3 linked regions of the Elephas maximus indicus genome follow. The protein of the gene in region 1 purifies or fractionates together with the protein of each later gene. This does not show direct contact. Links are inferred from orthologs where the notes say so. Each region holds a gene or a part of one and is shown in the gene's direction. Other genes may lie near its edges.

What was found.
Region 2: the proteins of SF3B6 (region 1) and CCDC97 purify together in Homo sapiens (affinity purification with mass spectrometry; 3 studies listed by BioGRID and IntAct, counting the BioPlex papers as one, with this or other methods). This does not show direct contact. The link is inferred for Elephas maximus indicus from reciprocal best matches to the Homo sapiens genes SF3B6 and CCDC97.
Region 3: the proteins of SF3B6 (region 1) and PHF5A purify together in Homo sapiens (affinity purification with mass spectrometry; 4 studies listed by BioGRID and IntAct, with this or other methods). This does not show direct contact. The link is inferred for Elephas maximus indicus from reciprocal best matches to the Homo sapiens genes SF3B6 and PHF5A.

Annotation. Positions count from the first base shown.
Region 1 is NC_064830.1:41,616,456-41,623,407, reverse strand, and holds the start of SF3B6 (splicing factor 3B subunit 6), read left to right. Parts: upstream 1-3,946; 5' UTR 3,947-4,154; coding exon 4,155-4,184; intron 4,185-6,812; coding exon 6,813-6,931; intron 6,932-6,952.
Region 2 is NC_064829.1:109,873,502-109,881,385, reverse strand, and holds the start of CCDC97 (coiled-coil domain-containing protein 97), read left to right. Parts: upstream 1-4,815; 5' UTR 4,816-4,920; coding exon 4,921-4,966; intron 4,967-6,770; coding exon 6,771-7,226; intron 7,227-7,884. Other genes in the region: HNRNPUL1 (heterogeneous nuclear ribonucleoprotein U-like protein 1), read left to right, coding at 1-21, 564-680. UniProt on the Homo sapiens protein: May play a role pre-mRNA splicing through the association with the splicing factor SF3B complex which is involved in branch-site recognition.
Region 3 is NC_064822.1:185,615,923-185,622,880, reverse strand, and holds the start of PHF5A (PHD finger-like domain-containing protein 5A), read left to right. Parts: upstream 1-3,941; 5' UTR 3,942-4,024; exon of another isoform or gene 4,025-4,133; 5' UTR 4,134-4,217; coding exon 4,218-4,275; intron 4,276-4,281; exon of another isoform or gene 4,282-4,324; coding exon of another isoform or gene 4,325-4,376; intron 4,377-4,733; coding exon 4,734-4,814; intron 4,815-5,523; coding exon 5,524-5,690; intron 5,691-6,958.

The DNA of each region.
Region 1 (6,952 bases):
AAGCCAGTGGTGAACCACCTTACATTCTGAGCAGGAAGTGACATAACGAAAGCCCCATATTAGGAGGAGCCTGGTGGCTGGCTGTGCTCCTTGTGGTGGTAAGGAGATAAATGGGTGCGTGAAAGCAGCTAGAGGAGGTCACAGGAAGAATGAATGGTGGTTATTCACTCTTGTTGACGTATACAGCAGAGATGTGCATTTTGGCGTTATTTCATAGGTAAAACAGAGATTATGGATATAGCATCTAATAACTGTTTTAAAAGGTTGTTTTCCACTTTGAATAGAGGCAATACAACAAAAAAGAACTGCCTATATAGACAAAAAGGAAGTTAAGAGGGTTTAAGAGATTCGGCATTTGGTGGTCCTGGGGCCAGGTCATCATGGTAGAGTGTGCCTGTGTGGGGAATGTGTGAATGTGTAGCAGTTGCAAAATAAAGAGAATTATTCCTGTACTTACTGTCATAGGAAATGTTCAGGCCAGACAGTTTGTGCTAATCCATGTGGGGTCAAGTGGTGTGGGCACAGCTGCCATCCAACTCACCCAGATGGCTGGAGCTATTCTTCTGGTCATGGCTGGCTCACAGCACAAGCTTCGAATGGCAGAAAAGCTTGGAGCAGCTGCTGGATTCGATTACAAAGAAGAGGACTTTTGTGAAGCAACACTGAAATTCACCAAAGGTAAACAACTGCTTCTGCAGCTCAGCAGGAATGTCAGAGATGATTAAATAAATCCTCACCAGCTTCAAGGTTGCCAGGACTCTGCTAAATGCACAACAGCTGGCCTGGTCAAACTCTAGTACTCTGGGGTTTGACCACTGGGGACAGGCAGTTGGTATTTAGGACTGAGATCATTTCCATATGCATTCCTGCAAATGATATAATTCATACACGTTTTAGAAGCTGGATAATTATCAAGAGTTGACTTGGAATTTTCCAAAACCTCTTCTTCCCAACCAGCCACTCCATAGTGAGTTAATACCAGGCTTGAGGCACTGTTTGGATCTGGAGCTAGTAGGGTTGGGGTAATAGGGTTGTGCATGCGTCTGCATTACAAAGCCAAACATGTATGTTTTTGGCTCATCCCTTTCAGTTTTTCATATGAGTAGAAAATCCAGTGCAGATACTTTGTAACTTAGATATGAACAACTAACCTGCCCTGTAGCCTGGGTAGACCTCCCCTGTTCTGTTCTCACTTATACCTGGGTGCCAGTGCACACTGTACTTAAGTGGTGGTAACAGGAGACACCAAGTCATGGTTTCAGCTCGTTTCCTTCTTGCTGCTCTCTTATGACTAGGGGATCATAAAAGATGAACTATTCACACATGCCATAATAGAGTTCAGCTACTTAAACTACATTTATAACAATGTTTCCATGAGCAATGTTGCTAGTTCCAACCTATAAATTTACCACTTGCACCTGTACTTAATTTATACCCATATATCCACAAACTTTCAAATCCACCAGGCGCTCCTTGGAAACTCTATGGGGCAGTTCTACTCCGTCCTATATGGTCGCTATGAATCGGAATCAACTCAAAGGCAGTGGTGGGTTGGATCCACAAATTTAGGGTGGCTGTGAGTTGGAACCAACTCCATGGCACCTAAGAACCCATAAATATACCATGGAGTCTTATTTTACACCAAGTTTTCTGGGTCTGACTGGCATTACAAATCTGTTTCATGTGAAACGTGCTGGAGCCAACCTTATTCTAGACTGTGTAGGCGGATCTCACTGGGAGAAGAATGTCAACTGCCTGGCTGTTGATGGTTCTCCATGGTCTGATGCGAGTAGCTAACATCAATGGGCCTCTGTTATCCAAGCTACTTTTTAAAGGAGGAAGCCTAATCACCAGTCTGCTAAAATATAGACAAATAGGTACGTGATGTGTGAAAGAAAACACATGGTTTCATTTACATAAAAGTGTGAGAAAGGAAGCTTTGTCACATCTTAGGTTAGGGAGTTTATGTAGAAACCTGCCCCCCTGGGTATATATGTACCCTGATTTCAGAGAACCAATTAGGGTTGGTCAACAGAAACCTCAACATCTGGGAAAAAGGGTGGCTAATGCTTCATACATAAACTTTCTAACAAAATGAACAAAGTATTTAGCATATTAGGAAGTACTTCTAATAGTTCCAAGATTTTGTTTCCAAAGGCACTCTCCTCAGTGTACTAAGAAAGTAATACATGTTACAGAAGTCTGTGTGGCATTCTAGCAGGCACCAACTTCGGGAAAGTTTCCCAATATGGGTTCCACAACCGTTGGAGGAAAGGAGCTCAAACATCCCTTTTGCACAGAGCCTATATAAGTCCTATCTGTGGCTGCCTCTCGCTTGAAGCTTTTATTTAGAAACAGCCCTCTGGCCATTATTGACCCCAAAACCAAAACCAAACCCGGTGCCATCAAGTCGATTCCGACTCATAATGATCCTATAGGAAAGAGTATAACTGCCCTATAGAGTTTCCAAGGACTGCTGACCCTTATGGTTAGCAGCCGTAGCACTTAACGGCTATGCCACCGGGGTTTCGGGTCAATGGCCATTATTGACAGTAGTATTTCACTCGGAGCTTCAGTCCTTATCTGGTACAGAACAGAGGTTACGCATTTGGGGGCCGGCGCACACACGCTAGGAAGTGAAGAGGGTACCCCTGTGTGCTTTTTCAGGTGTGTACCCGTTTCAGAGAGATCAAAAAGTATGGGAAGCGGCAGGGTAAGGTCTCAGTCCAGGCTGACGGATTCCTTTTCCATATCTTAGTATAAGCAAATGCTGGTGAAGGCTTCCACGGAACGAGCTCTGCCTCACTTCTCCACGAAGGACCCCCAACGTCTATTGCCACTTCTGGATAGAGTCTACCTGTTGATGGAAATCCAAGAGGCCCATGTGTACACGGAGACTGACAAGAACATGGGCAAAATCGTCATGAAGCTGCCCCAGTGAAGGCACAGGGTACAGGACACTCCACCCTAGGCCTTCTCAGAGTAAACTTGGAGAAAATTCACAGGCAAGAGTTCGGGTGCTATTCCCAGACCCACCCTAAAACACTGCCCCTTCTCGACCTTTTCAACTGACCCATGTTAAGCTGGCGTTAAGAAACAAAGAGGGTGGAGTTGAAGTGTGGTGTGCTCACTGGCGACCCCAGCTCGCAAACTAGCGCTGACTGGCCGGGTGAGGTGGGAGCTGGGATGACTGACAGGGGGATTACAGGAAGAGGCCACAGAGGTGTGGTGGGGGGGGGGGGAGACGCAGAGAGGGCACTTGCCCCCAGACGCAAGTCCAAGAGGGCATCAGACAAGGCACCCCTGGGCGCTACAAACATGAAGGAGCCTGAGACAGCCGGACAAAGGACCGGGAAAAGCGTTTCCGCTGACGCATCGTCGCTATCTGTTCATCTTGAAATTGGGGGGGGGGGGGCGCAATTCAGAGATTGCCCCTGGGGGCTGGAATTGGCGGGGCAGGGGCGGGGGGCAGGGGCAATTCAGAGACTGCCCCTGGGCGCTCGTTACCCTCACTAAAGCTCTGAGAGGCCAGTCCCGCCGAGGCTCAACTTGGGGAAGGCACTACGGAGGGCTGGAGGTCCGGAACTAGGTTACACAGTCAGCCTCGACACTACCCGCCAGAACCTGTGAACTCCGTCTCGCGCACTGCCAGAAGCCCAGGCTCATCCACGAGTTCTCCTGCACCTGGCTACCCACGTCCCGCAGCCCGGAGCTTCTCGCCAAACTCGGTCCCCTTTCCTCGACCCAACCAGTCTCCGCATCACCCCTCACCGCCATCCCCGTGCCCCGCCACCTCCGGTCAGCTCGCACTGCTTAGGTCCCCCCCCCGACCGGAACACCTTCCCTTCTTGAGCTGAGGCCCCGCCCTTTCCGGCCCAGGACCCGGAAGCATCTTCGACTGTCTTCTTTCACCTTCCGGCCTCACATTTATCTCAGGCTCGCTTTGCTCCCGGAGTCTTCTCGGAAGAGGACCGGTAGTACGTCAGCACGTCTCGACGTGAAACGGCGATTTTCTAGCGTTGTTTCAGCAGCTTCCGGTGGAGGCTGGTTGTTGATGGCCTGCGTTTGACACTGTTGCGCTCGAAGTAGAGCGAGCTCCAGAGGTGTCCGGAGGATTCCAGTCTTAACTACGGTGACTTCATCAGCCTGCCAAGATGGCGATGCAAGCGGCCAAGAGGGCGAACGTGAGTAGCGGGGCCTTCTGCGGAGGAGGGGCGGACTTCGCTGTTTGACTTTCTTAGAGGCGTGCACAGAGCATGCTTACTCCTGTGTCCCCTGGGCGGGGAAACCCAAATTTTCCTGTCCTATCCGTGGGGATTCCACGCTGTCCCGGTCCTCAGGGGTATGCTCATTGAGCCACAATTCCGCCCACACCCCTTTTGAAAGTTCCTAAAGTATCTTAGTGTTAGTGACAGTGCTAGCCCTACAGAATTTGTTGCTTGACCTGTATTTAGGGCCTGGCATCAGAATCTCCTCCTCAGCCTAAAAATTGATAGCATAGACGAGTCCCCAATAAATAATGGTCCACAGGCGACTAAAACTTAAGATTCTCTTCAGATCATAGGGTTTTTTGGGTCCTTCATTAACTTATTGATTCAACAGTATTTATTGAGCACTTGCTGTGTGCCAGGGAGGGAACAATTCCTTAGTTACATTTATTGCACCTCCTACGTGCCAGCTACTAATCTAGGTAATCACTTTTATTCAGCAGTGAATAAAACAAAAAATCCTTGTCCTATAGGTGCTTACATTCTAGCATTAGAGAGTGAGATGTTATGGAAACTTAAAGAAAAATGTCTCAAGAAGGAGATAGTGGTGCTGAGACGCATAATATGATGACAGGTAATTGAACCCTGGATAGGGCTATTAACCGAAAACCAAGCCCGTTGCCATCGAGTCAATCCCAATTCATAGCAACCCAATAGGATTCCAAAGGGTGCCTGGTGGATTTGAAATGCTGACCTTTTGGATAGCAGCCAAGTTCTTTAACTACTGCTCCACCAGGGCTCTGGATATGGCTATGGTGAGATGGAAAATTTTGGTGACACTGATGAGTTGTTTCAGTGTAATGGTGGATGAAAACTTGGTTGTAGTGGGATGAAAAGATGATGGAAGTTGAGGAAATCTCTTTTCATGAGTTTTCATGTAAACAAGGAGTAGGAAATTGAGTTTAGTGATTAAAAAAAAAAAGTTGAGCAATATAAAGTGTATTGTGTGATCATTCCAATGGGAATGATCTGGTAAAGTGGAAGAAGCCGATAATGTACAAAAAGATGTGTTGATTTCAGGAGTCGTGTAGATGTACTCATCTGCTTTTGAGTAGATGAAGGGTTGGCATAGTAACAACCCAAAAAACCAAACTAATTGCCTTCGTGTTGATTTTGATTCAGGGTGACCCTATGCATTTCAGAGTAGAACTGCCCCCTGTAGCGTTTTCACTGGCTTTGATCCTTTGGAAGTAGGTGGCCAGGCCTTTCTTCCAAGTATAGAGAGAGGGAACATAGGTGGATATGGATGAATGTAGATTGGTAGGTTTAGTGATAGGACTATAAGGTACTTACCACTTGGTCATATCCATTTTGTCCAAGAAGTAAGAGCCAGGGTCATCTCCTTGGACGGGCAGGGAAAAGGATACAGCCCAACAAAGGTGTTGGAGTGGTGATAATAAGGTTGAAGACAGAAGATATTTTTGATATAGTGTCTTACAAACTAAGAAAGCAAATTTACCAGAGAAATATATTTCGGTTGTCTGGCAGCATTGATTGTCTATTTGAACTTAACCTTGAATTATGGTCTCTAAAACTTTATTGTACTTGTTCACCAGTTGTCATTACTATTTATAACTGTCTTTTAATATAAAAATAACTGAATAGCTATTGAGTAAATTAATGTTCAGTATCTAATTTATGTTAATCAGGAGCATAAGAGTGAGATCTAGACTGGAGTTACGTATTCCAGGGTCATCAACTTACTGTGGAAACCACGGGTGTGGTTAAGAGGCCAGTCAGAGAGAATGTAAAGAGTTAAGGGGCGTATACAAAGGATCAAGAAAAGAACTCTAAAGATACAGCCCTGTGCAAGAGCATATTTTAATGGTAAAGAAGGCTGAGAAGACCTAGCTAGAGTGTTAGGAGAAAACCAAGAAAATGGATTGTTGCAAGAAGGAACTAATCAACGGTGTTAGAAGTCTCAGGCTAAGTATGATGAGGATTGAGCAATGCGGTTAAAAGCCCGCAGGGAGCCCCTTGTATATATTTTCACTATGTATTCCCAATACCTAACCTGGTGTATAAGAAGGTGCTTAGTAAATATTGTTGGTTGAAGGAAGAGGGATCTAGATAAATTGTTTGTTTTGTGAAAAGATGGGCAGGATGTGAGCAACTGCTTATTGGGAGGACAAGAAGAAGCTAGTGGTGAGGGAAAGGTTGTAAATTCATAAGAGAAGACATCAGTGATACAAGCCCCTGAGAAGACCATAGAACACACATCAGTGGGGATTTTATTGTCTAGCAAACAGGAACAGCTCCTTTCTTTCTTTCCCACATGTAGTCGGAGGTGTTAAGGACTTTTAGATGTGGTTGAAAGTCCGTATTTAACTATAGTGATCAAAAGTCTTGTTTTATCGCAGGCCCGTATTAGTTCCTACTAATGGTCTTCTCTGGAACCATCATCCAGTTGCTTTTCTGAAGAGCATGTCATTTACATCAGATAATAATTCTTACTCTTGGCTTTTCACTATTATGTATTAGAATTTTTTCTAAATGGTAGCACTCCTGCCTGATTATAACGACAACATATATTTCTCATTTTAGATTCGACTTCCGCCTGAAGTAAATCGGATTTTGTATATAAGAAATTTGCCATACAAAATCACAGCTGAAGAAATGTATGATATATTTGGAAAATATGGACCTATTCGTCAAATCAGAGTGTGAGTCTTACTGATATTTTT
Region 2 (7,884 bases), on another chromosome or scaffold:
AGCTATAACCAGTATCAGCAGGTAGGTACCAGACTGGACGCTGACTGGGTAGAGAAACCTTCAGGGGCCCCTGCCTGGATGTGTGTTCCCAGGCTTGAGTCTATTTATCCCTAAAAAGATGGCAGCCTGCTGGCCTTGGTGCTGGTGCTCCGCAGTACAGTGCTTCGGAGCTGTGTACTGAGTAACCGGTGTTGCAGCCCCTCTGCATGGCTGTGTAGGGTCTGGCAGAGAGGGCCCACAAGCCTGCTTCAGCACTGCAGCCAGTGCCATTCCTATTGGCTGCTGCTCGGGCCACATACCTGTTGGTGAATATTTTGAACATGCCATCTGGCTGTGCCTGGAAGGACATAGGTTAGCAAGCCAGGACACCTGGGCTGCGGTCCCTAACTGCCTGCCCACGTGGCATCAGGCCAGTCCCTTATCCTTGATTCCTCTGTCCGTCAGGGGACCCAGCTGTTAGCTGCCATCACTGTACCCATCTCTTCTAGGTGAGGGTGGGTCTGGAGAAAGGACAGCCTGGTGTTGGGGTCTGACCCCCGTCCTGTTGGTTTCTGTCTCCCCAGTATGCCCAGCAGTGGAACCAGTACTACCAGAACCAGGGCCAGTGGCCGCCGTACTACGGGAACTACGACTACGGGAGCTACTCCGGGAGCACGCAGGGCGGCACGAGCACACAGTAGCCAGGGCGCCCAGAGGCCCCTCCACCAGCGCCCACCTCGGCCCCTCCTCTGCCCCTGCCGGGTCCCGTGGTGCTGGGGGATGGGGCCACCCCAGGGCTGCCTCCCTCCAGCCCACTGCCTCCCTGCCAAGGGGCTTCTTCCCTACACAGGGCCAGGCTTTTCTCTCTGAATTCAAACAGGCAACAATGACCTTTTATTTTCTGTCGACCCCCGCCTCCTCCCTCCTCCTCCTCCTTCCTTTTTCACTAGAGAACCCTCCCCTCCTCCCTTGATCACACAGTGAGGCTCCAGTGACTGAGGGGAGGACCCCCCCCATCCAGTCGTGCCCACCCTCCAGCCCCTCAGCTTCCCAGACCCTCATGCAGTTTGTTGTAAATTCTTCCAGAAGCTGTTTTACTGTCTGCTTTTCAGGATTAAAAAAAAAATCAAAAACTTTAAAAAAAAAAAAAACCATGAGTTTAAAAAAGCAAAATGCAGAGGGAGGAAGCAGTGACCTTATTTTTTTTTGTAATTATGCTTTCCCCCCCGCCCCCTATTTTTTAGAATCTGTCAGTTTTTACTGTGGGTCGGCTGTTGGTATTTCATCAAGATAACCATCTCTTTGCTGAGTTCAGGTGACCGAGGAAGAGCCACACCCTCGAAACAAAACAAAACACACAACAAACCACAAAATCACCTTTAACCTAACTTTTTATACAATGTCTCAGTTCCCCATAACTTTGCACACAAGCTTCTGTGTCAAGTTGAATTGTAACTGCTTTTTTTGTATTTGGAGAGAGTGTGACTATTGAACTTGAAACCTTTTATTCTGGGCGTCCTGGTAGTTTCTGGTGGGACGAAACGGGCGAGGGGGAAAGGGAGGTGGAGGGCTCCTTCCCTCAGAACGTTAAGCTCTCCCACCGCCTCCCTCAGAGGTCTCTAGGTCCCAGACCTGGGAGTTTTTCCTACAGTGATCCGCTTCAATTATTTTTACTTTCCCTTGTCCCATATGTTTTAACGGGATTTTAACAAACTGCACTTATTAAGAAATGTGTTTGCCCTGTTTTGTTTCGTTTTGTTTTCTTTCAATAAATGACATGGCATCTCCTAGCAGGAAGGACGCAGGGATGGAACCCTAAAGTGTTACCACACTTGGCATTTAACCAGGATGGGGACCTTTTCAAGGGGCATTTATTTACTCATTCATTAAACCAACCTGTAATTACTGAGGGCTTCGTGTGCCTGGCCCTGTTTTTAGTGCTGGGGACGCCCCCTCTAGCTTCTTGGCGCCCCCAGTTTAAAATCCGCTAGTTGGTTTTTAAAGTGGTTCTTGGGTCCTTTACCCCTCACAGTCAATTGACACTCCAAAACCGGCAGGAAATTTTTGAGTGGAAGGTGTAAAGCAGGTCCCTAGGCCAAGGGAGAGGTGGGGTGGTTGGGAGGAAACCAGGGCTGGGTTGTTCAGGGGCATCACCAGGTGTTAACTGAACATTCACCCCAGGCCTGGTCTCTGCAGTTACTGGCTGCCCACCTGTGGTCCAGGCCAGTTAGGAGCCCAGGGAGCATCCATCATTCAGCCAGAATGTGCCAGGCACCTGCTCTGCGTCATCTGTTCTGGGCAGTGCTGGGGACGCAGCATGACCAAAGCAGTCCGGGACCCTGCCCTCATGGGGCTCCCAGTCCAGAGGCAGGATGAGCCTGGCACCAAACAGTGGCAGCCCCAAGTGGTCAGAGGTGAGGAATTCTGAAGAGGGGTGGTGAAAGAAGGGCTTCTGTAGGCATTGATAGTGAAAATTCAGTGAACTAGGGTAAAAGCGCACCAACCTTTTCATTAGCACCACATTTATTTACTGAGCAGGTGCTGTGTTACCAGCCTGTGATGGGACAGTGCGGGGGCACAGGGGTGGCCTGGTCAGCCCCTATCCTCTCTGGTCCAGCCCTACAGAAAGGGACACAGGCTACAAACGGGAGGAGGGAAGCCAATTAGTCTGGAGGGCCAGGGCGGGGCATCTGAACATGAGAGAGGGCCAAGACTGGTGGTCAAGGCTGATGAGAGATCCTTGTGTACCTTTCCGCTGCTTGAGGGAGAGCCTGCCAGCAGGCCTCAGGTTCTGCTATTGTTAGGTGCTGTCCAGTCAGTTCTAACTCATAGTGACTATAGAACACAGTAGAATTGCCCCATGGGTTTCCAAGGGGCAGCTGGTGGATTTGAACTGCTGACCTTTTGGTTAGCAGCCAAGCTCTTTACCACTAGCCACCAGGGTTCCCCTAGTCTGGGAAATTCCTTTCCTTGCCAGTCCATGTGTGGGTCAACCGCGCCCTCTGCTGCCTACTCCTGATAACACGCCTAAATACAATCCCTAGCCCTCCTGTGGTGAGTTCTCCACATCTCCAGATTATGGGCCAGTAAAGCCAGAAGTGCCTCCTCTGCTCTCAACCAGTCTCTGAATTACTGCAGCAGGCTCTTCACAGGTCGCCCTTACCGCGATCCACGGCCCCTCCTTGCCCACTGCCCGTCAGGATGAAAGAGCGCAAGCTACTTAATGCTGTTTATGAGTCTTGCCTGGGTGGGCCCTGGTGACCTCACTGGCTTCACCTCTTGTTGCTCCCCCTTGGAACTTTAGATCAGTGGCTTTTCTGGAGTGTGGGGGAGTTATCAGGTGCCATTGAGTCAGCTCCTCATAGCGGCCCTATGCTCAACAGAACAAAACACTGCCCGGTCCTGCGCTATCCTCACAACGTTATGCTTGAGCTCATTGTTGCAGCCACACCGTGTCAATCCACCTTGTTGAGGGTCTTTCTCTGTTCCACTGACCCCGTACTCTGCCAAGCATGATGTCCTCCAGGGACTGATCCCTCCTGACAACAGGTCCGAAGTATGTGAGACCCAGTCTCACCATCCTTGCTTCTAAGGAGCATTCTGGCTGTACTTCTTCCAAGACAGATTTGTTCGTTCTTTTGGCAGTCCATGGTATATTCAATATTCTTCGCCAACACCACAATTCAAAGGCGTCAGTTCTTCCTTATTCATTGTCCAGCTTTCACATGCATATGATGCGATTGAAAATACCATGGCTTGGGTCAGGCACACTTTAGTCTTCAAGGTGACATCTTTACTTTTCAACACTTTAAAGAGGTCCTTTGCAGCAGATATTCCCAATGCAATGCATCGTCTGATTTCTTGACTGCTGCTTCCATGGCTGTTGACTGTGGATCCAAGTAAAATGAAATTCTTGACAACTTCAGTCTTTTCTCTGTTTATCATGATGTTGCTCATTGGTCCAGTTGTGAGGATTTTTGTTTTCTGTGGGGGGAGGGTGTTAAATTTCTCCTTAGGGATCTCAAAAAGCTGTAAACCTTGGAAAATAAAGACTCACAACGTTTTCAAATCCCCTGCCTCCCAGTCACGGCCTTCACGTGAGAACTTTCCTATTCCTTGACCGTAAGTGAAGTCTTTGCGGCTCCCAGACTATCCATGCCTGCCATCCGTCTAGGTCTTTGCCTTGCCCATCCACTGGCTGAAACCCTTATCTCCTGTCTTTTACTCTAATTTCTGCTCATCCTTCAAGTCTCAGCTCCGAGGTCTCCTCCTTCAAGAAATAAGCGTTTCCTGACCCTTCTGTTTGCCAGGCCTGGAGGACTCCTACCCGTCCCATAGAATAAATCAGGACCACAGTTGCCCTCCTCCATATCTGAAGATCTCCATGTCTGAGGACCATAAAGTGGGAAGTTCTACCTCTTATCTCACCACCCATCTCATGCCAGCCAGTGACTGGTGTGATGACAGAAGTAGGAGTTGAGGCTTAGTAAATATTCCCTGAGGTGGTGAAGAAATGAAGGGGAGAGACTGGCGTCTAAACCAGAGCACAGGCCCTGGAAGGCGCGCATTTAACCATCCACCCCAACATGAGGCATGCTGGGCTATTCCACGCAGGCCTCTGCTGGGCGCTGGAGTCACCGCACTGAGCAAGATGAATAGTGGTCCAGATCCCTCCTGATGTTTCAATTTTGTGGCAGTTCAGATAGGAGAGGCTGAGTGGCTTCTCTGACCCAGCGTCCCTTTTCTGCCTGGCTGAGGCGGGCTGAGGGAGGTACGCATGCGCATAGATAGGCCCACCTTCGGCCCGGAACCTTGGTGCCCGGGCGCAGCGGGGCACCCGGCCCCGGGAGCGTGCTCAACCGGAAGTGGCTGCTGAGGGCGTGGGGCTGGGATCGGATTGTGGAACCTGTCGTGGCGGTTGGCAAATTGTAGAGACTCAGGATGGAGGCTGTGGCGACCGCGGCGGCGGCGAGGGAACCCGATGAGGGTGAGGCCCCGGCCGCGCGGAGGCTGAGGGAGGCGCGGCCGCGGTGTCACTGGGAGATGATTCCCCAGGAACGTGAAGGAGGACTCTTTATAGGGGAACACCTGCCCTCCGCCTTATCTGAGTCTTTCTGCAGTTGTCCAGGTTAACCCCTCTCTCGGCAGGCTGACTTCCTAACCACCCACCCCCCAAATTAACCTCTTCCCAGTTCCAGTTCAAAGCCAACCCTTTCCATATCCTGGGCTAATCTGTTTACTCACCAGGCTCTCAGGTTAATTTAAACCTCTTCCGTGTCTTGGGCTAACTCTCCCACTGCCCCAGGCTAACCCTTCTCACAGTACCTCCACGTAATCCGGGATAATAGCCCCATATCGAGATCCTTAATCACATCTGCAAAGACTCTTTTTTTGGCTGTATAAGCTGACATTCGCAGATACTTAGGATTAGAACATGGATCCCTTTTAGGGTCTCTTTATTTTAGCCTATTACAGTCTCCTTCAGGGGGATATATTCTTCCCATCTGTTCAAGGAGCCCTCTTGTCATCCTTCACCTCTACGAAGCCCCTCCCCAACCTTTCATTACCCCCACAGTCTTTGAGACACCTCCCCTTGGATGTCCCTAGGGCCATCACACCTTCTGTGTCCCAAACTGGGCTCAGCATCTTCCCCCAGACCTGCTCCTCTTCCATGTCCCAGTCTCAGGGATAATCTGACCGTGCCCAGGCCGGAGCCCTGGACCTCATCCTGGATGCGCCTCTCCCTGCCCAGCCCTTCAGCCCCATGGCTTGTCCACTCTGCTTTCTGAGTGTCTGTCTAACCCCCACCACTCTCCAGCACTCCTGCCCTGGTCCAGCTCAGTCTTCTCTTGCCTCAGCGATTAAAACCCTCCCATCACACCTGTAACTATCACCCCTTCACTCCTCCGTTCCCCTGCCAAGCCACCTACAGGAGTTGTCTGTACTTTTCTGCCTTCACTTATTTCCTGCTTGCTGCAGTCTTGCTCCATTTCCTACCATTTGCAGGAAACAGCTCTCCCCAAGATTTGCCCACCACTGAGCTTTTCTCTTATCTTTGTCTGTACTGTCTTTTTAACCTTGCCGGTTTCCCTCATCAGACGGGATTCTCCCTGAGGGCAAGGGGTAGATTGGCTTCATCTCTTGGGTTCTCAGCTCAGAGCTTGGCGTAGAGTGGTTGGGTCAGTGTGTGAATGAGTAAGAAGAGAGCGAGGGAATGAGTGAGTGAGTAAACAGATTAATGAATGTATTCATGAGTTTGTGAACAAGTAAAAAGGCAAACATTAGAGTGAATCAACGAGTGAGGTGGTAAGGGACCAAGTAGACATGCCAGCCACAGTCCGCCTCGCTTTGTGTTTGCTGTTCCCTCCGCCTGGAGCACTCTTCCCCTAGAAACCCTGTGGCAGAGTCCCTGGACACCTTCAGGGCCCTACAAATATCACATTTTGGGAAGGCCTTCTCTGACTGTCCCATTCAAAATCGCAGCCTTCCCCCTACTCCCTTCCCTTTCACTTTTGATTTCTCTGTATGGTTCTTGAAACTGCCTAACACACTGTTTTCAATAATTATAATTATTATATAATTATGTTGTTAATTGTGTGCCCCACTAAAGGTCAGCTTCTTGAAGGCAGGAGATTTTACCTGACCTGTTCAATGTGGTCTCTCTTGGGCCTAAGACAGTGCTTTTAGTATAGTAGGTGCTCAGTAAATGTGAAGAGGGAGGGACTGAGCACTAGTCCCTTCCTCTTTCCCTACTGCCACCCCTGGACTGACAAATCTCCGCCTGCCAACAGGCTGCACGGAGCCTAGTCCCAGCCACTGGGGGGAGCTGAGCTGGACACCGGTCCCACCCAGGCCCCAAGACAAGGTGGACGCCTCAGAGGAAGCACCGGGGGCTCTGGACAACGACCCCCCCGGGGCCGAGAGCCCAGCGGTGAGCGCCATGCTGCGTGCCGTGGCCGCCAGCCGCCTGCCCGTGTGCAGCCAGCAGCGGGGCGAGCCTGACCTGACTGAGCGGGAGAAGGTGGCCATCCTGGGCCGGCTGTACCACGAGAAGCCGCTGGTGTTCCTAGAACGCTTTCGCACGGGCCTCCGCGAGGAGCACCTGGCCTGCTTCGGCCACTTGCGCGGCGACCACCGTGCAGACTTCTACTGTGCGGAGGTGGCCCGACAGGGCACTGCCCGGCCCCGCGCCCTGCGCACCCGTCTGCGCAACCGGCGCTACGCTGCGCTGCGGGAGCTCATCCAAGGTGGGGGGGGGGGCAGGGGGCCAAGTTGGGAGGCAGGGGCATGCGGGAGGGGAGACTGAGGCAGAGATGGAGAGGGAGGCTGAAGCAGAGACAGCTGAATGGGAAACTGAGGCCGAGTGGGGTAGAAGTAGTGAGAAACAAGGATGCAAGAGCAGAAATACAGACACTGATCGTGGAGGATGAGTTCCAGACAGAGAGATGGGGACAGACTGAGATAGAGATGTGCAGTAAGAGAGACAGACAGACGGGCCCAAGGGAGGAGAAAGGCACAGACAGTGAGGAAGGGCCAGAACTTAGTGGCTGGCAGAAGTGGCATTTCATATCAGTGGGTAAAGGAGGGTTTATCCAGTGCACAGCACTGTGATAATTGATTGTCCATAAAGACAAAGAGATCCCTCCCTCACTGCATACACAGAGGTATTAAAAGAAACCAAGGGGAGTATGATCATGACCCTGGGGATACCAGATCATTCTTGAACAAGACACAGCATGTGAAAACAGTAAAGGAAAACACTGATACCTTTTTGACCTTGACTTAATTTAAAGCATCTTAAAGACCCTCAACCCAAGCTAAAAGACGAGAACAATTGAACTCTCTAGTGAGGGAAGAGGCACAAGCTGTAGAGACAGAAAGAATGAGACACAAGGACAGGCAAGG
Region 3 (6,958 bases), on another chromosome or scaffold:
TCAAAGGGAAGGAGTATAGTACATTTGCTAGGATCTTGAGCTTTGGAACCAGAAAGGTGCAGATTCGAATCACATCTGCTAGCAACTAGTGATAAGGCCCTAGGCAAGATAACAAGCATATACCACTTGCTAGGAACCATGCAGGATTCTAATTAATCTGTAACAACAATATGATTAAAAAAAAACAGTTGCTGTTGAGTCAATTTTGACTCATGGTGACCCTGTATCTGTCAGAGTGTGCTCCATAGGGCCTTCAAGGGCCGATTTTTCAGGAGTAGATTGTCAGGCCCTTCTTCCAAGGAGCCTCTCAGTAAATTTCAACCTCCAACCTTTCAGTTAGCAACCAAGTACATTTACCGTCTACACCACCCAGGGATGCCATAATATGATCATTGAGAATTAAATAAGATAGATGTACTATTATTATCCATATCTTACAGGCAAGGAAACAGTCACAAAGAGGTAAAGGAATATGCCAAGGTCATAGCTAGTGAACATTACAGCCAGGGTTCTAATCCAGGCAGCCTGATGCCAGTCCATGCTCTTCACTATCATTACACTATGCTTCCTCTCTAATCCGCAATTTCTTCATCTGTAAAACAAAGCTAACAGGTCTGCCTTATCTCGCAAGGTCATGTGAGATTAATGGCAAACAGTAAGCTAAATGTTAGCTACTCTGAGTGGTAGTAGTTAGTCATCATTCTATTATCTACATTCACCTTTGGTCTAGCCAAGGGCAGAAAAATAATATTTTGGCTGAGAAACATCTCCGAGACCCTCTGCTGTAGGGTATATTAGAATATAGTGGAAGCTCCATGAGAACAGGCATTGTCTGCTTGGCTCACCACTGAATCTGCAGCAAGCAGTGGGAGCTCAATAAATGTGTGGTGAATGAAGAAGGAATGAATTGAATGCATGGACAGGGTTCTGCCAAGACATGGTAACTTAGGTAGAAAGCATCACCTCTCAAGTGTAGCTCAACACAAAAGAGGTAAATTCACAAGGTTCTCAGAGAATGATGTTAGCTAGCTATTACTTAAGACAGCCTGGCTACAGGAGGCAGGGTGGTACAATGCAAAGTGGAATAACACAGATGCAAATTCTGCTCATTCATTTTAGCTGAATGGACAAGGCGACCTGGATTTTAATCCTGGTTCTGCCATAGAGTAACTGGACTATTACTGGAAGTCACTCAGGTTTCTCAAGGTCTTGGATTCTATGACGATCGTAAACAAATACATTCTACTTGCTCATCACTTTATAGACAATCTGAAAAGAAGATTATCAGGTACTCAGTAAATGTTTCTTCAGTGAAGGTCATCCTCAAATGACAGATGATAAAACTGGGATTCAGGAAGTAACTTGTTCAAGGTCACAGGGCCAGGGTAGAACATGAACTTTCTACACAAGGTTAACATTCATGTTTTCCAAGATTGCTTTCAGTTCTAAAACATTGTTAATATACCTCTGCAGTGCAATTAATTACTTTTGGGTGTTGCCTTTCTAGCCATGGTCTTATAACTCCTACCCAGGTGACTGGGTAGGACTGTGTGATAGGGTAATTGTGGCCCACCAAGAGGACTGGTCAGTTTTGCCTTAAAAGAGACCCAACTCCAGAGCAGGGAGGAGGATCTTAACACCTTCAAGGAAGGACAGCCAGGAGTGGAGAGCAGGTCCTTTGGCCGGGATCCCTGCACTGAGAAGCTCCTGGAAGCAGGAGAGCGAGCTGTAACCCTGAAGATGGTGAGAAGCAGTGGCAGCAGAGATGTGGCAGCAGGAGACAGCATGTGGGCCACTGAGAGAGAAAGCTGAGTGCCTTTGGGGAGAGGCCGAGGGTCAAGAAGAGGTGAGCCTGCAACCACAGCTGGGGAGAAGCTGTCCTATGGGAAAAACTGTATCCTGAGTGTTCTGGAGCCTGAATTGTAACTGTTACTTCCCTAACCAGCTGCCAGGGAGTTGATTCCAACTCCTGATAAACTCCTTAGTCCTGAGTATGGTCTGTGAGTTCTGTGTGGCCACTGCAATGAATTATAGAACCCAGGAAAGAAGTAGAGAGCGCTGTGCGAAGGATGACTGGTGTCCGAATTGTTAAAGATGATAGAGCAGGCTTGTCTGGCCTCCACCTCTAGCCTTGCACTGTTGATCTTGGTTCTCCTTCCCCCTTGTGGGGCTGGAGGTCAGACGCCATCCTCATGCCATTTTTAAAAACTCTTTTCCATGCTCAATAAATTTGTAATCATTTATCTTATCAAGTAATCTTGCCTGACTGCAATACATCATGGTAAAACAGGAGTTGTACAACTATTTTCACATCATCAACCTAGAGAATCAAAAGACCTTAAGAGATAATGAAGTGCATATCCCTTGCTTTTGCCCAAACTGTGAGAAGTATTTTATAATACTTAAACCACAGTCTAAACTTAACCAATGTGATGAAAAATAACTTCTAGTACCGCAACGCTTCCTGAAAGTACAGCACACAACTTTCCAATTCTATAATCAAAGTTGCGCCACTTGATTCAAAAGTATTCACAAAGTTAAACATAAAAGGTTGCAGAGAATGTCTACGAGTGCTTTCTTCCTTTATTTTTATTAACAAAATACTCCCCTGACATTGAACCTTTGAGTATAACACCTTCCTAAAGATTGTCAGGGGCCCTAGTGGCACAGCGGTTAAGCATTTGGCTACTAACCAAAAGGTCCGTAGCTGGAATCCACCAACAGCTCCTTGGAAACCCTATGGGACAGTTCTACTCTGTCCTACAGGGTCGCTATGAGTCAGAATCGACTTGAGGTAACTGGGCTTTTTTTTTTTTTTTAAGGATTGTCAAGTTAGGTAGGGGTAAAAAAACATTTGGCAGTCACAGTTACAGTCAACTTTCTAGACGGTTCACAAAGGGAGAGTCAAGGTCAAACTGTTGAGCCTCATTACCCTCCCATATGTTACTGTAAAAGGAACTAATTGTGAGCACAAAATACTCCATTCTATTATTCTTCAAAATACAAATGTTAAGTCCAGCATCACGCCTTTTCTCAGTCTGTGAGGGCTGGCTGACGTGGAATTAGACCAGAGGGGTAGGAGGGCAGATGTCAGGACACAGCACTACAGTGACAGTGACACTCTTGAAACTTTTGCCTACTTCCTAGCACTTTCGCCACCTATCAAAATGAGAATAATCATCTCGCTAGACATGACTCAAATGATATGATGAGGAATTAAGTCTTGAAATCACGGGCAAACGTGAGATACTGCTATTGTCACTATTATTTACTACGTCGGGCAAGAAAGATCCCCCGCGCACTCTTGGCTGTGAGTTCCGCAGGGTCCTCAAAGGACGGAATAGTGTACTGGGCGAACTGGCTAGGAAGTCTCTGAGACTGAGATAGGAAGTGAGCCCTTCAGGCACTGGGCCTAACGGGCTCTACAACGACCGCACCCCCCCCCCCAGTCACCTTGTCCTCACCTTGAGGAACGGAAAGAAACCCTACGAGAACTGGCAGTGCGGTCCTCAGGAAGGAGAAAGAGGAGCCTGCACTCTCCATTCGGCCGCCGCTGCTTGTGCTTATACTTTACCGGGGGCGGGGAAAGGGCTGCGGCAGCTAACAGAGCCTGGGACGCCTTGACCTCGGGCGTCAGAGAGGCGGGCACAGACACTGGGCCCACGGCCGGGACACTACACGAAAAGTCTGCCCGAGGTCGGGCCCGCCTCGCCCACGGCCGCAAGCACAGCAGGAGGCACCCCGCCCCCGTGAACCCTGAGGGCCCTGAGCTCGCTCACCTGCAGCCGGGTCACTAGTAGGCTGTAAGGCGCCATTTTGTGCACTGACAAAGATGAGGTCGCGTGAAAGTGACGTGCCAGACGACAACTTTAAAGACTTAGGCAGGGGGCGTGGCCTGACGAGAACACAGCGCGGTGGGGCGGGGCCTCCCTAAAGGCGCCCGAGCCCAGCGAACGTAGACGGCAGAGCCGCAGTGTTAGGAACGGGCACGTGAGAAGAGAAAACGCTCGTAAAAACAGTTACGGTAATTAAATGCCTGTACAAAGATGTTTTATCGAAAAACAAATTTCGGCTATATCTTCCATCAAAATCTGGGAAAGGTATTCATTTTAGGACTTTCGCGCTCCTGCCAGGACTTACTTCCGCAGCAACCACAGAAGCTCTTCTTGGAACGTAGTGGCTTTGATCTCGCGAGGGGGAGCGCGGCTTAGTGCCTGATGGAAGTCTCCAGGACCAGTCATAACGACCAGGAGGCAGGAACAATGCGGGTCAAAGGTCGGGCGGAAGTTCCGGAAGCTTCCGGTGGCAAGTTTGAGTGGGAGCTATGGCTAAACACCACCCGGACTTGATTTTTTGCCGCAAGCAGGCTGGAGTTGGTGAGGCGGCGGCCTGCCCCCGGCTGTCTGGGTGGTGGTGGTGTTAGGCGCTGGGAGGTTGGGAGTTCTCATCACTTCTCTAGGGCTTTGTCTCGGAGCCGCCACGTTTCCCACCTCACGGTCGCGGGGTAGTGTAGGAGCGCGCGGGAGGGAAAGAGCGGGGCGCGCGGGCTGTGAGCCAGAGGTGGGCAGCAAGGGTGGGGTCCCTGGGACAGGGTTCCGAGAACGGCTGTCGCAGGTTGCCCCTGATCCCAAGAAGGGATCGTGACTGTAGGTTTGGTTCGGATGGAGGTCTACGAGGATAAGATGACTGTCCGTTAGAGTTCACTGTAGTCCCTGTCATTGTCCCCACTCCAGCCCTCTTCGTCAGAACCCTAATTCTAATGGTGCTCTATATCTTCTTTGCTCTTGCAGCCATCGGAAGACTGTGTGAAAAATGTGAGTGGAACGCGTCTTCCCAGCCCCCCCACCCCTCCCACTCAGTGGAGTCAGGGAAAGGGTATTTCCAGCGGTGCCACAAAGAGGACTTTGAGTAGATGGGACTGGAAGCATGTGGACACGGGATCCCAGGCAGCAACCATAGACCCTTTCCACCTCCCCACTCTGACTGGCACATTTTAAACAGTGCATTTAGGTTTTGCAGAAATCTCTAGCTTGAGATACGAAGAATCGCCAGAGTAGCATGACCCCCAACCTAACATACACAGGTCTTTTTGCTGCAGTTATGTAGAGCTATCATCTACCAAAAGTTGGTAGTTCGAATCCACCAGCTGCTCCTTGGAAACACTATGAGTCAGGATTCTGAGAAGCACTATCTCAGGTTGCCCCAGACCTGAGAGGGGCTTCAGGAAGGGATTGTGACTGTTCTGTCCTATAAGGTCACCACGAGTGGTAATCAACTTGGCAGTAGTGGGTTTGGTCTTTTTGGTTTATCTACAAGGGGCTGTGCTATGCTCTTTATGTATGTTAATGTTTTGTAAGTGTTAAGGGGATTGAGATGGATACTGGGTAATGGCAAAGTAGAGGAAGGGCCCTAAACTCACTGTCCAAAAGAAACTAGTACACCACCCATAGCTGAAGGAGGGCAAAGCACTTGGGAGAGGAAGTACTTGCAGGTGAGCATAACTCCATTCACTTTTCTTCACAGGCGATGGCAAGTGTGTGATCTGTGACTCCTATGTGCGTCCCTGTACCCTGGTGCGCATATGTGATGAGTGTAATTATGGCTCTTACCAAGGGCGCTGTGTGATCTGTGGAGGCCCCGGAGTCTCCGATGCCTATTACTGTAAGGAATGCACCATCCAGGAGAAGGATGTGAGTGTTCACAAAGCTTTCTACCTGACCCTTCCTTTTATTTAGTAACGCTTTGCCATCCACAGCAAATTTTTATGGTCTGCAGAGATGACTATGTTCAGCTAATCACCTAAGTTATCATTTTTTCAAGCTCTGTGAGCCAAACTGGGTGTAGCTCAATAAAAGGCAAGAGAAGTGCAGAGAAGCAACTCTTTGTCAACACCTGCAATTTGGAGAGCCCTGTCTCTATTCCTTTGATGTCTCCCTGTGGTGGTTGTTACCCAGAAACAACATCCTGCATTTGTAAGTCCTAACACAGGCCATATTGTATAAAAGCCACTCAGCATATCTCTTGCTTCTGCTATCCTTAAGGGCTGTTTGGGTGGATATGGTGACAAAGTTGAGTTTGGGACAACTTGAGCTGGTTTCAGCTTTAAGCAGCTAAAGAATGCCTTTGGTTTAATGTTGCAGCATTGATTGTGGTTCTGCCTCATGATATTTTTGTTCCCTGGCATTGTGTAGTCGCAGTGGCTAGTTACTAATGTTCAACTCCCTGAGCCAAATGGCAGGAGAGAGGGCTTATAGATCAGCACCAAAGACAAATTTTACCGTTTTTCTTTAGATTAGTACTGGCAGCAGGCCCCCTGGGTTGTGGGGGAACCCGTGAGTCAGTTAACTTGTTTTCTCAGAACACTTTTTTAATTTATATTTTCCACATCTATTCCGTGTTTGTTCTGCATCATCCATGCACATCGTCTATTCCACGTCTGTTAAAGGTAAATTCCACCACTATTCTACATCTATTCTGCATATGTTCCACATCATCTGTTCTTAGGACACTTTAAAAGGAAGTATGTTACAGTCCCATTGGACTAATAGAGGGGACCTGCTTACCTAGTAGGAACCCTTGTGGCACAGTGGTTAAGTGCTTGGCTGCTAACCAGAAGGTTGGCGGTTGGAATCCACCAGCCACTCCATGGGAGAAAGATAAGACAGTCTGCTTCTGTAAAGATTTACAGCCTTGGAAACCCTATGGGGCAGGTCTGCTCTGTCCTGTGGGGTCACTATGGGTCAGAATTGACTCGACAGCAATGAGATGTTTTTTTGGTTTGGTTACCTAGTGTAGGATAAGACAAAAGGTAAATATTCTTCATGTTTTGGTAAACTTACAGTGGGTACTTTATTAATGTTATTGCCCTTATTCCACACACTATGTCAAATGGGTGTCATTATTATCATTCCCATTTTACAGTCCCCCACCCAGCTAATAAGTGGCAAGCCCAGGCTGT